Cricetulus griseus: one gene and its partners. The protein of the gene in region 3 interacts with the protein of the main gene of each other region in a biochemical or structural test. Links are inferred from orthologs where the notes say so. Each region holds a gene or a part of one and is shown on either strand. Other genes may lie near its edges.

The links.
Region 1: the proteins of Trim28 (region 3) and Cbx1 form a complex in vitro, tested with the Homo sapiens proteins (3 studies listed by BioGRID). The link is inferred for Cricetulus griseus from reciprocal best matches to the Homo sapiens genes TRIM28 and CBX1.
Region 2: the proteins of Trim28 (region 3) and fructose-1,6-bisphosphatase 1 form a complex in vitro, tested with the Homo sapiens proteins (2 studies listed by BioGRID). The link is inferred for Cricetulus griseus from reciprocal best matches to the Homo sapiens genes TRIM28 and FBP1.

The regions. Positions count from the first base shown.
Region 1 is NC_048600.1:109,939,987-109,944,027, reverse strand, and holds the start of Cbx1 (chromobox protein homolog 1), read right to left. Parts: upstream 2,804-4,041; 5' UTR 2,625-2,803; intron 1-2,624. UniProt on the Homo sapiens protein: Component of heterochromatin. Recognizes and binds histone H3 tails methylated at 'Lys-9', leading to epigenetic repression. Interaction with lamin B receptor (LBR) can contribute to the association of the heterochromatin with the inner nuclear membrane.
Region 2 is NC_048596.1:280,508,583-280,512,848, forward strand, and holds the start of fructose-1,6-bisphosphatase 1, read right to left. Parts: upstream 2,804-4,266; coding exon 2,634-2,803; intron 1-2,633. UniProt on the Homo sapiens protein: Catalyzes the hydrolysis of fructose 1,6-bisphosphate to fructose 6-phosphate in the presence of divalent cations, acting as a rate-limiting enzyme in gluconeogenesis. Plays a role in regulating glucose sensing and insulin secretion of pancreatic beta-cells.
Region 3 is NC_048602.1:25,612,351-25,615,860, forward strand, and holds part of Trim28 (transcription intermediary factor 1-beta), read left to right. Parts: intron 1-997; coding exon 998-1,261; intron 1,262-1,357; coding exon 1,358-1,992; intron 1,993-2,419; coding exon 2,420-2,532; intron 2,533-2,752; coding exon 2,753-2,885; intron 2,886-3,510. UniProt on the Homo sapiens protein: Nuclear corepressor for KRAB domain-containing zinc finger proteins (KRAB-ZFPs).

The DNA.
Region 1 (4,041 bases), on a different chromosome or scaffold from region 3:
AAGCCCAACATACCTGTGTTCACTCAACAGATTAGCATAACAGTAGAAGAGAAGGACAACGGATTGTTCTTTGACCTCCACAGCATATCATGGCACACTCCCTACCCCCACGTTTAAAAACTAAAACACCGCCACCCTCCAAAACCCAACTCGGTGTGGTGGTGAACAACTTTAATTTCAGCACTCAGGAGACACAGGCAGGCATGTCTCTGAATTTGAGGCCAACCTGGTGTATATATCAAGTTCCAGGTCATCCAGAGATAGTCAGATCCTGTCTCAAAATATAAAACAATAAAGACATAAATAAATGAAAATGTCTTTACTCCCAGCACTTGGGTAGGGGTGGGGCAGAGGCAGGCAGATTTCTGAGTTTGAGGCCAGCATGGACTATAGGGTAAACTCCAGGACAGCCAGGGACACACAGCCTTTTATTTCAAAAAATTGTTCAGAGGGCCTCAGAGATAGTTTAGCAGGTAAAACTGCTTGCCATACAAAGCCTGATGGTGAGATTGATCTCCTGAGCCCATGGTAGAAGAACAGACTTCCCAAAATTGTCCTGACCTCCATACATGGGATATGGCATGCACCCATGTGCACACACAGTATTTTAACTGATCACAAAAATACCTAGAAGGGAGGGTAAAATTCTACCAATTTTATTACTATCTATAAAAAAAAGTGACCAACCAGAAGTGACTGAAGAATTATCCACAAACCTTTACTGAGAAAGTGGTTTCAATATGGGTGCTTTCCCTAGGTCCTGAACTCATGGTGCTCCTGCTCCTTCCAAGTGCTGGTTGGGATTATAGGAGTCACCAACACACACCACTGGAATCTTCTCAACATTCATTCCAAGGAGGGGCACAGGCACTAATTTCTTGATTACAGTCACACATCTATCCCCAAACCTTAGATCTTTTGAAACTATTCCAAGCTGCTGACATGATTGTTAATTCAAAACTGGAGAGGACACCTTATGTTCCAGTAAAACTTTTTTTTTCTTTTCTCTTGCTTTTTTGATACAGGTTTTCCCTCAGAGATCCACCTGTCACAGCCTCCTGAGTGCTGGAATTAAAGGTGTGCACCACCACCGCCCAGCTGTAAAACTCATTTTTTAAAAATATTTTTTGTGGTACTGGAACATAACTCAGTGGTACATAACTTGGGAAAAATGAGTTCCATATTTCATAACTTTTTTTTCTGAGATAGGGTTTCTCTGTGTAGCTTTGTAAACCAGGCTGGCCTCAAACTCACAGAGATCCGCCTGCCTCTGGCCTCCGAGTGCTGGGACTAAAGGTGTGCAACACCACCACCACCCAGCTGATAACTATTTTCTAATAAAAATATCACTACTGTGTGTGTGGAAGCCTACTTTTACCGGTCCCTGCCATACCCTCACGGGTAGATCATAGGACAATTTTCTGGAGTGGGTTCTTTCTTTCCATCACTACCTGAGTTCCAGGAGTTAAACTGAGGTCTCAAGGCTTGCTCAGATTGAGCAAACACTTTTTATCTGAGGAGTCTTGCCTTACACATGCTATTCTTAGTCTCCCAACTCACAATGAAGACCCACTATGGCAGGGCGGTGGTGGTGAATGCCTTGAGTCCCAGCACTCAGGGGGCCAGAGGTAGGTGGATCTCTATGAGTGAGGCCAGCCTGGTCTACAAAGCTACAGAGAAAACCTGTCTCAAAAACAAAACAAAAAAGACCCATTACTAGGCAAAAAGTGGCCCTTTCACCCTTTCTTGACTTCCAATGCAGCCAAGAAAGGTCTTACACTTCTGATCCTCCAGGGTGCTAAGATTACATGTCCATGCCTTCACACCCAACCAGCTTATGTGCCACTGGAGACTGAATCCAGGGTTTGCAGCCCACTAGGCAAACACTCTACAAACTAAGCTACATTTCCAGATACCCCTTTTCTCTTCCACATTTCACTCGATCCTTCTCTGGACCTCTACCCTACTTATCCCAAGAACTCCTTTACAGAATCCGGTCAAGAAAACGTCTGATCCCTCGCTCCCAGATTTGTTCAACAAATCTTTTCTCAATAAGCACACCCTGAGCAACCCAAGACCCTTGTCCTGGAAGTTACTTCTTCGTGACCCTGGCAAGAGAAATTACTGATACTGTCAGTCGGACTCAATATCCTCAAATTCCTTTTCTTTTTTCTTTCTCTCCTCCAAGTGCTACTGGGATTGCCCGCGCCCGCCACCGTGTCCGCTTTCTCAGGTTACATTTCTAAACCTCTAGCGTAGGAAGTCGTGGTCCGTGCCACGCATACCCAAAGCACCAAGCCTGTCCTCTTATGTCGCTAAGTCCTAAAGTTTTTCTTCTCCCGCCCAACTCCAAAGTCGCTCCCTCGAGTCAATCCGTCTCGGTCCAGCTCCTGAAGAGCTAACCCTCGGAAGGCTCGGCTCTCATCTGGAACCACTTGGCTCCCGGGCTCCGGATTCGCTGCCCCGCCCTCTCCAGGCTCCCGCAACCCGCGAGCTATGCGCGGGAAGCGAACGTGAAGGACCGGGCCGCGCCCCCGGCTCCGCTCGCTCCAGGCTTCCGTTCGCGGCCCTCGACCGCCCGCGGCCTCCCGCCGTCGCCGCGCCCCCTCCCCCCGCCTCTTCACCTCCTAGCAGCGCCCGAGAGTCCGCCAAGAATCGGTGCTCCGCTGCTAGTGCGTCGCGTCGGGCGGCCCGAGGGAGTAGCGCCCAGAGAAGCAATAAAGCCTTGTGGTGGCAATGGGACGCCTCGGTGAAGCCGCTTACTCCAGGCCCCGCCAATGGCCCTCCCCTCAGCCGAACAAAAGAGCTTCTCACTCTGCGCTGCCCGCCGCCGGCACCGCGCAGACGCGGTGACCCGCCACACGGCATCATGGGACTCTGAGTCCGTGCAAAACTACAAATCCCAGAGTGCCGCGCGAGTCTCTTCCCTCCCCCGCCCCGCCCCCCTACTTTCTAGGGTTGTTTCCTTTAAACTGGAAAGGCGGGGTCGACTGTAGTTTATAACTCTACAGTCTAGAAAGTTTGCTGAGTGGTGGTGGGGCTTGTTTGTTTGTTTTTTAATAACGGGGTATGTAGACCAGCAGGTTTCGAACTCGTGGCCTTTCTTTTGCCTCAAACTTCAGATGACAGGCCACAACATCTTACTCAGTCTACCCAGAACACGTGTGTTTGGAAACTAGCCCCTAGATATTTGGTCAGGAAAACCATTTGCCTCGCCCAAAAAAAACCCCAAAAAAACAAACAAACAAAAAAACCCCATTTGCCTCTGGGCAGTTCTGTAATTAATATCCTCTGCGTTTAATATGTATATATATATATATATATATATATAATAACATATTATATACATATACATATACATATATATATATATATATATTTTTTTTTTTTTTCCAGACAGGGTTTCTCTGTAGCTTTAGAGGCTGTTCTGGAACTAGGTCTTGTAGACCAGGCTCTTCTCGAACTTACAGAGTCCCACCTGCCTCTGCCTCCCAAGCGCTGGGATTAAAGGCGTGTGCCACTACTACCAGGCTAAAGAATAATCTTTAATCCCAGCGCTTGGGAGGCAGAGGCAGGTGGATCTCTGTGAGTTTGAAGCCAGCTTAGTCTACAGAGCGACTTCCAGGAGCGCACACAGAGAAACCCTGTCTTGAAAAACAAAAGAACAACAAAAATCTTAACATATTTGTCCCCTGAGATTTACCAAATCTCCACCTTTCAGTAATGTCCAGCGGTCTCTGTAATCTTTTATCTCCACCTCCATGAGGTTACTACTCCTCAGCCTTGAAATCACTTTCCCTTTCAGAAAGTACTAAATTAATCCTCTTTTTTTGTTGTTGTTTTTGTTTTCTCAAGACAGGGTTTCTTTGTGTAACAGCACTGGCTGTCCTGGAACTCACTCTGTAGACCAGGCTGGCCTCAAACTCATAGAGATCCACCTGCCTCTGCCTCCTGAGTGCTGGGATTAAAGGCATGTGCCACCACTGCCTGACTAAATTAATTTTTTGGTAGTCATCATCTGGTCACTTCCTGAATTTTCTT
Region 2 (4,266 bases), on a different chromosome or scaffold from region 3:
CTGCTACTATAGCTCTGGTCACTCCTTCACCTGGTCCACTCATTTTCCATGTCTTCTCTTCCAACTCCATACTTTTAACCTTCCCTTCCCCAGAACCTGACCTGGGCTATAGGAAATGCTGTCTCATGATATCATATCATTAGGAGCAATGGAAATGACAACAGTGGCAACTTTGAAGTTAACTGAGACAAGGCAGCAGCATGAACCATAATTATAACTCTGCTGAGCTGTGAGACACCAGACTGAGCTTTGGAAACCAGTCCCAATGAGGTTCTTGAAATATCTACAACCATCCCATCCCTTTGGGTGCATGCTTTTCTAGGGCCAATTGGGAGTGATAATTAAGCTCTTTGAAGCCGCACTGGCTCTTCATTCAATACATCAAAGCCCAAATGAATATAATTTGGAGGCCTGTCGAGATCATATCTGGCTGCTGGAAGTCTGACTGCTTGTCATACTGTGAGTAGTCACCTGCTCACTGTCCCACAAGAATGCTTCCTACCTGTCCTACCACTGTAACAACCAGAGTAGCAAGGACTTAAATGCCACAAAGCCACAGAAGGGTTCCATTATTCAAGATGTCTGCTCAGTGGAACATCCTGCAGCAGTTTAAAAGGAAGTGGATGGTGTCACACCCCATGCCAGAGAATGTTCATTACATAATTGGAGGAAAACACGGTAAATACTGTCCCATTTTGTTTGCTAGCTACATAGGAACATGTAAATGCATGTTCATGTAGATATTTACATGAGCATAAAGAAGAGTCAGAGAAAATAATCAACAACAGTTAGCAGCGGGTACTCTGAGGATTTGGCATGGGTGGGGGGGTCTCCTTTTCCTCCATATCTTTTGAATGGCGTGGTGTTTTTGTCAATGGGTACAACTCCTTAAGGAATCTATGATAATATTTTCAAAAATGGTGTCATGACCATCTAGTCTACCAATATACATTCTCTTCCATGCCAAAACTGGCACCTTCTACCAAACCCCATTCCCATTTTCCGGGGCTAGTTAGGTGGGATTTGGGGGTTCTAAGTCTTTCTGAGATTGTGACAAGTACTGGTGCATTTTTAAAATAATGTAAAAAAAAAATGCCAACTGCTGTCTCTTAGAAAGCTTCCAGGTACTCAGAGAGTTAAATCTGTGCCCTGGAAACTCAAGTTGAAGTGAGACTTTACCTTCCAGCACTTGCTCAATAACTCCTTAGGGCCAAGAACAAGATGGTGAGGGAGTTCTCACCTCTAACATACCTGTTCCTAGCTTTCTCTAGCAAGGCCTAGCCCTCCTTGGCATCTGAAAGTAAATGTGACCAGGTGCTTCATTCTTAAGAATTAGCTCAACCAAGCCACACAGTAGAAACAGAGGTTTTGAGAAATAGATGCATAAAGAAATAAATAACCCAGGCCTCATTGTTGGGGGAGCATTTTAAAAAATGCACTTCAAAGGATTATTATGCTCAAGTTAGCCGCAAACCTTGAATGGCATTTCTGCATTGCTAATAGGCATGAAAAATATTAAGGAAATATACAAATAATCTGAAAACCCAGGTTCCATTCAGCTGTATGCTGACCAGTTAGATACCAAACATGTGCTCAGACCAGAACAAAGTAAAAGAGAGTTGAGTAGTTTACAGAAAGGTTTTCTTCACTTCCTTCTGTATGAACTATATAGTATTCCTTTTATACTGTATGAACTATAGATCAGAGCATTAAAATCACCTACTGTGCCAGGTGTGGTGGTGCACACATTTAATCCCAGCACTCAGGAGGCAGAAGCAGGCAGATTCTGTGGGTGCAAGGTCAGCCAGCTCTGCACATAGTATAAACTCCAGACCATCAAAAGCTACAGAGTGAGACCCTGACTCAAAAAATAAAAAAATAAAAAAATAAAAAATCACCCACCACAAGGAAACTTATTGGAAAGGCAGAATTTCAGACCTTCCCCAATCACCCCTGAAGGAGGGTCTGAATAACAAGGTCCCCAAATGTTTCAGAAGAAGGAAATCAATTCCTTGGCTCCATCAAAAGAAGACTACTACATCTGCCCTGTCTTCGAGCTCTTCGCTAATTGGGCAAGATCTGCTCAAGGCATTAATGCAAATAGGGAAAGGTTTTGTTGCTCTCGAGGTGAGGCTCTGCAGCTAATCCCAGAGAGAGGACAGGACACTGTATAGACAGCCGGACTTGACTGGGTATTCACTTCTTCCTAAACTATCGCTTGGTGGAATATTCTTAACGGAACTAGTCTAGGTCGAGGATGACACTGGATCTGAAACAACTTGGGTCCAAAATTCCAAAGAGAGTAACAGGGGAGGAAGGTGACCGTGTCTCTTTCTGTCTGAGACCGAAATGGGCAACTGTTAAGTCACTCACTTTTACCATGAGGCTGGGAGGAGCGACAAGGAGAGTTGAGATCAGAGGAGGGGTAGAGCAGGTTATGCACCTGGAAGACAGCCCTCCCAGGGGACCTGCTCCATCACCAGGAGGAAGAGAATAAGGGTTTGTGAGCAGCAGGGCAAGAGACAGGAATCTCAGGTGTCGAGTGGGCACACTGGTTACCAGCAGGGGGGCCAGAGAGGCAGACCCCCAGGCGCTCTAATAGACCAGACAGGGCCACCAGAGGCCTAACTCACAGGTGTACGATGCCAGCCTTGCGCACCGCGGACGAGATAGCTTTGATGGCAGTGCAGAGCGAGTTCAGCAGCTGGGTCATCTCGCCCGTGCCGTGAGCCTTCCTGCCCTGCTCCATGACGAAGCGGGTCAGGGTGCTGATATCCGTGTCGAAGGCCGCCTTGTGCGTCATGGCTGGGGCCTGATACAGGTGCGAGCTGCAGGTGCTGGCTGCAGGTGCAGGCAAGAAGGGCCACAGGTGATGCTCACAGCAGGAGTACCGAAAGCTGCCCAGTGTCTGCAGAAGCTCAGTGAACTTGAGTCCTGGGGGACCTTATAGCCGTTAGGTCTCCGCCCCCTGTCCCAGGAAACACCTCCTTTGCTCCCTGCCCCCACCCAACTGCCGTCCTGCCCGCGAGATCCTCCTAGCCTTCCCCTCCCTTCCATGCACCCTCCCCTAGATGCCACGCCGACATTGCCACTTCCTCCTCTGTTGCTCCACAGCCACACCTGCGTTCTGCAGCATGCCTGTGGGCTACCTGCGTGAAGATCGCCTTCAATCCCTGCAATAGCCTGCCAAAGAGGAAGACCTGATGGACTCCTCCCCACACACCCGCGCCTTTAAAATACAAAGCAACTCCGTGTGAGGGAGGGAGTAACTTGCTCAGTTGCCTTCCCTGCACAGCTGACAGCTGGCAGAGCCCAAAACCCAAGCTGGCCTGTTTCAGTGCCCGCCCGCTGATCTCTTGTCACCTGCCCCTTCAGCCACCTCCTGGAAAGTGGATTCCCCCATCCTTCATCTAGTCTGAATCCTTAATTGCTGCCTTCCCGAAGTTACTAGAGTTGGAGAACCGTTGAGAACCTTAGTTTCCAACAAGTGTGTCCTGCAGGGGAGACAATTACAGACACAAATTGTCCTGAAATCAGGCACGTCCCCAGTCTGCTCCTGTTGTAGCTGACACAAGTCCACAGGCTGATCTATAAAACAATCACTGGACAGCTACTGTGTACCTGAACACCTGCTCTCTTTGTGGTCAGGGCCTCCCTGAGTGTAGAGTTTAACAAACAGAAAACGAAAAGAAACAAAAACAACCCATGGATCAGCTTGCTACAGGAGCCACATTGGCTTAGGGGAGAATGAAACAGGAAAGACAAACATATAAGGAAACTGAGCGTCCAGGGGAAAGTTCACTGAGAAAGTAATATTTGAGCAAAAAGCTGAAGGATGTTGGGGAGGAGCCAGAGAGGACCTATCTGTGGTTAACCAGACAAGCCAGTGCAATCAGCTAGCACCAAGCTTATCAGAGACCATCTCTCAAAATGAGGGGCACAGTGACCAAGCAATAACATCCAAGGTTGTCCTCTGGCCTCACACGAGTACCCAAACAGGCACACATACACCAGAAAAGAAAAAAAAAAAGCAGGGATGGGGGGGGGGGGGTGGGGGTGAGGGAGAAAGACTAAATTATGACAGATCTCATGAGTCATAGCAAGACACTTGTGGGTTCTATTCATAGTGCAAGAAGAACCTTTAGAGGATTTTAATCCAAAAAGTAACTTGACTTGCTTTCCTCTAAATGGAGTGGGAACAGACTGTGGAAGGTCAAGAGCTGAAGCTAGGAGACCCAGTAGCATGCCTTCCACACAGCTTGTTTG
Region 3 (3,510 bases):
GGACCTGCCAGCGTGCAGCAGTCCAGACCTAGGGTGCACACCGAGGGTGCTCATGGCACTACACGAGGCGGCAGGGGCGATCGCCCTCAGCACGGGGCTGGGGCGGGAAGGGGGGGGGACAGATCGCCTTCCCCACACTGATCCTGGGACTCTTAATAGCCACGCAACCCTGCTGATCTCTTCAGATCAGATTCATCTTGGACCCTGCTCCTCTCCCGGGACAGGTCCCGATTGCCTCTCTCTCGGGGTCCCCGTCCTGCCCCTCACATGAGATCCGCCACTCCCATCCAACTTTTATTCCTCCGCTGCGCTAAACGTTCGGCTCGCCCACCCTCCCGGCCCGCTTTTAAACCCCAGGCAAATCAGGAGAGCAGATGGCTAACACGAGAAGGGGTGATGGGGGTGGGCAGAGTCCCCTCGACAGAACGGCTTCTCCCTAGTCCTTTGTGATCCATCTACGGGGTCCACTTGGGCGAACTTTCTGCTTCCCGAGTTTTAACAATAAAAAAAAAAAAAAAAAGTTTGCGTTGAGACCGCCTCCTCCGCGTTCCGGCGGGAACTTCCTTCCTGCCGGAGACCCCGCGCGCCCCCTCCACCTGGGGCTCAGTCTCTCTCTCTCTCTCGGTGCTCCGCCGCGGCCCCGCCCACTCGGGAATCGTCCCGCCTCTCCCCGACGCCGATTGGCCCGCCGGAGGCTGCAGACGTCGCCCCGCCTGCCGAGGGGGCGTGGCTTCGAGGTGCAGCTCCGCACGACCCGCGCGTTTCATCCGCCTCGAGCCTGGGAGGCGTCGTCGCGCGCCCTGCTCTCTCTCTCGATCCCCGGCGGATTCCCGCACGCGCGGGGGAGGGAGGGGCCGTCGCTCTTTTTTCTTTTTATTTCTTTTTTTTTTTTTTTGGGGGGGGGAGGAAGAGGCGGGCGGCCGGGCGCCGCCGCGAGCCGCAGGCCCGGGCACACCGGCGCGTGCGTAATCGCCGCTAGCCCCGCCCTCTCGCTCAGCCCGCCCGCGCCCCGCCCCGCCCGCCCGGGGTGGCGGCGCCCAGCGCGCGTGCGCGGCGGCGTCGGGCGCCAGATATTTCTGTCCCGCCTCCGGGCCGCGGCTCTTTCTGCGAGCGGCGCGCGGTCGGGGACGGTCCTTTCGCGAGTCGCGAGCCGAGGAGCGCGAGGTCCCCGGCGGCGGGCCGAGGCGGAGGAGGAGGAGGAGGCGGAGGAGGGGGGCGGCGCCGTCGTCGTCGTCGTCCTCGTCGTCCGCAAGGGAGCGAGGCCGGGTAGCCAGCCGCGGTTTTTTTTTTTTTTTTGGTTTTTGTTTTTTTTTTGTCTTTTTTTTCCTTTCTATTTTTGTGTCGCCTGCGTCCCCAGAGGCGCGCGCCGCGCGGGCGTCGGCCCCGGGAAGACGCGTGGCGGCGGCGGCGGCGGCGGCTCGGCGGCAGCGCAGGCTCGGCCCGGCCCCGGCCGTTGGCGGCGAGCGCTCGTGCGCCTGCGCGGCGGCCTCCGCGCCCCTCCTCCCCCGGGCGGGCCCCCCCTCCCTCCGCCCCCCGCCCCCCCCCACCCCACCCCCCACCCCCCGGGGCGGGAGAATGGCGGCCTCGGCGGCTGCAGCAGCCTCGGCGGCCGGCCGCGCGGCCACGGCGACCTCCGGCAGCCCCGGCTCGGCGAGGGCCGGCGGTGGGCGGCGACAAGCGCCCCGCCGCCCTTCTGCGGCCACGGACGGCCACGGCGACGGCGACGGCGGCGGCGGCGGCCTCTGCAGCGGCGGCGGCGGCGGCGTCGCCCGCGGGGCGGTGGCGAGGCGCAGGAGCTCCTGGAGCACTGCGGCGTGTGCCGCGAGCGCCTGCGGCCCGAGCGGGAGCCTCGGCTGCTGCCCTGCCTGCATTCGGCCTGCAGCGCGTGCCTCGGCCCCGCCGCACCCGCCGCGGCGGCGGCGAATAGTTCCGGGGATGGCGGCGGCGGCGCGGCGGCAGCAGCGGCAGCATCAGCAGCGGGCGACGGCGCTAGTGAGTGGGGCTGGGTGGCCGGGGGACCCCTCCCCCCTCCTCCTCCTCCTCCCCCCTCCCTGCAGCCCTGCGCCTGTGCGAGAGTCTGGGGGGCTCCCCCCCCACGTAGGGTAGCGGAGGGGAGGGTTGGGTTAGCCCCCGGTGGCTTTAGGCTGGGGGTGGGGGGGTGGGACACACGAGCTCTTGGCCTCTGCGCTGATGTGCGCGTGGCCCCCCTGGTCCGCGTCCGCGAAGATGCAGAGTGTGGTAGGAGATGGGAAAGTAGCGCCAGGGCAGGGAGAAGGGTAGATTTGTGTCTGTCTGTGGTTCCAGCCTTCTTGGGGGGTGGGGGGTGGGGGGAGGCACGCAGGTCACAGCCTTCTTGGAGGGGGGGGGGAGGCACGCAGGTCCGGAGAATGTCCGGCGTTCACGCCCTTGTGTCCCGCAGTGGTGGATTGTCCAGTGTGCAAGCAGCAGTGCTACTCCAAAGACATCGTGGAGAATTATTTCATGCGTGATAGCGGCAGTAAGGCTTCCTCCGATTCACAGGATGCTAATCAGGTGCGTTGTCCTGGGGGAGAGAAAGGGGTTGTTGCGTCCTTTTTCTGGAGCCTCACCATCCTCAGCTTGCTTGGCTGTTTTCGGGATCTAACCCCAGCTTCCCGGAGGGCAGTACAGATTTGAGGGCATGGTTATAGGAAGTTTAGGTTGTGTGTTCTGGGAAGTAAGTGGCGTGTCTGCTGCGCGGTTCTGCCGATTCTAACCCTCCTCTCTTTCACAGTGCTGTACTAGCTGTGAAGATAATGCCCCAGCCACTAGCTATTGTGTGGAGTGCTCTGAGCCACTGTGTGAGACCTGTGTGGAGGCCCACCAGCGGGTGAAGTATACCAAGGACCACACTGTGCGCTCCACAGGTAGGTGAAAAATTGGAGGCTGTTGGAGCTACCCTCTTCTTTCATTTGCCCAAAATGGCTGCTTGCTGGATGGTTTTCCAGGGACCTGACACAACAGAAAAAGTTCCTGGGTTCAGTAATCTGGGGTTCTAGATGGGAAGGGAAAGGTCCTAGCCAGGCAGTGTGTGTAGGGTGTCTTAAGTATGTTGCAGTCAATACTAAGGATTGAACTAATACCATCTTGGGAAACTCAGACAGTGAGTGAGTGGGTCCTGGTGGTAGACACCTTATCGTAAGCAGCCAGTGAAAGCAAGATGGAAATGACTTTTTGGATTTGAATGTTCCCTGTCTGGCTTCTGGCTTTAGATTGCTGGAAAAGTAAGGGCTCTGGATCAGGCAGGGTTTCTTTTATTTTTTCATTAAAGATTTATTTATTATGTATACAGTGTTCTGCCTGCAGCATATATTCATGCAGGTCAGAAGAGGGCACCAGATATTACAGATGGCTGTGAGCCACCATGTGGTTGCTGGGAATTGAACTCAGGACCTCTAGAAAGAACAGCAAGTGCTCTTAACCTCAGAGCCATCTCTCCAGCCCCCAGGAAGGGTTTCTTGACCAACCATCTTGACAGGTTGGTAAGGCTTT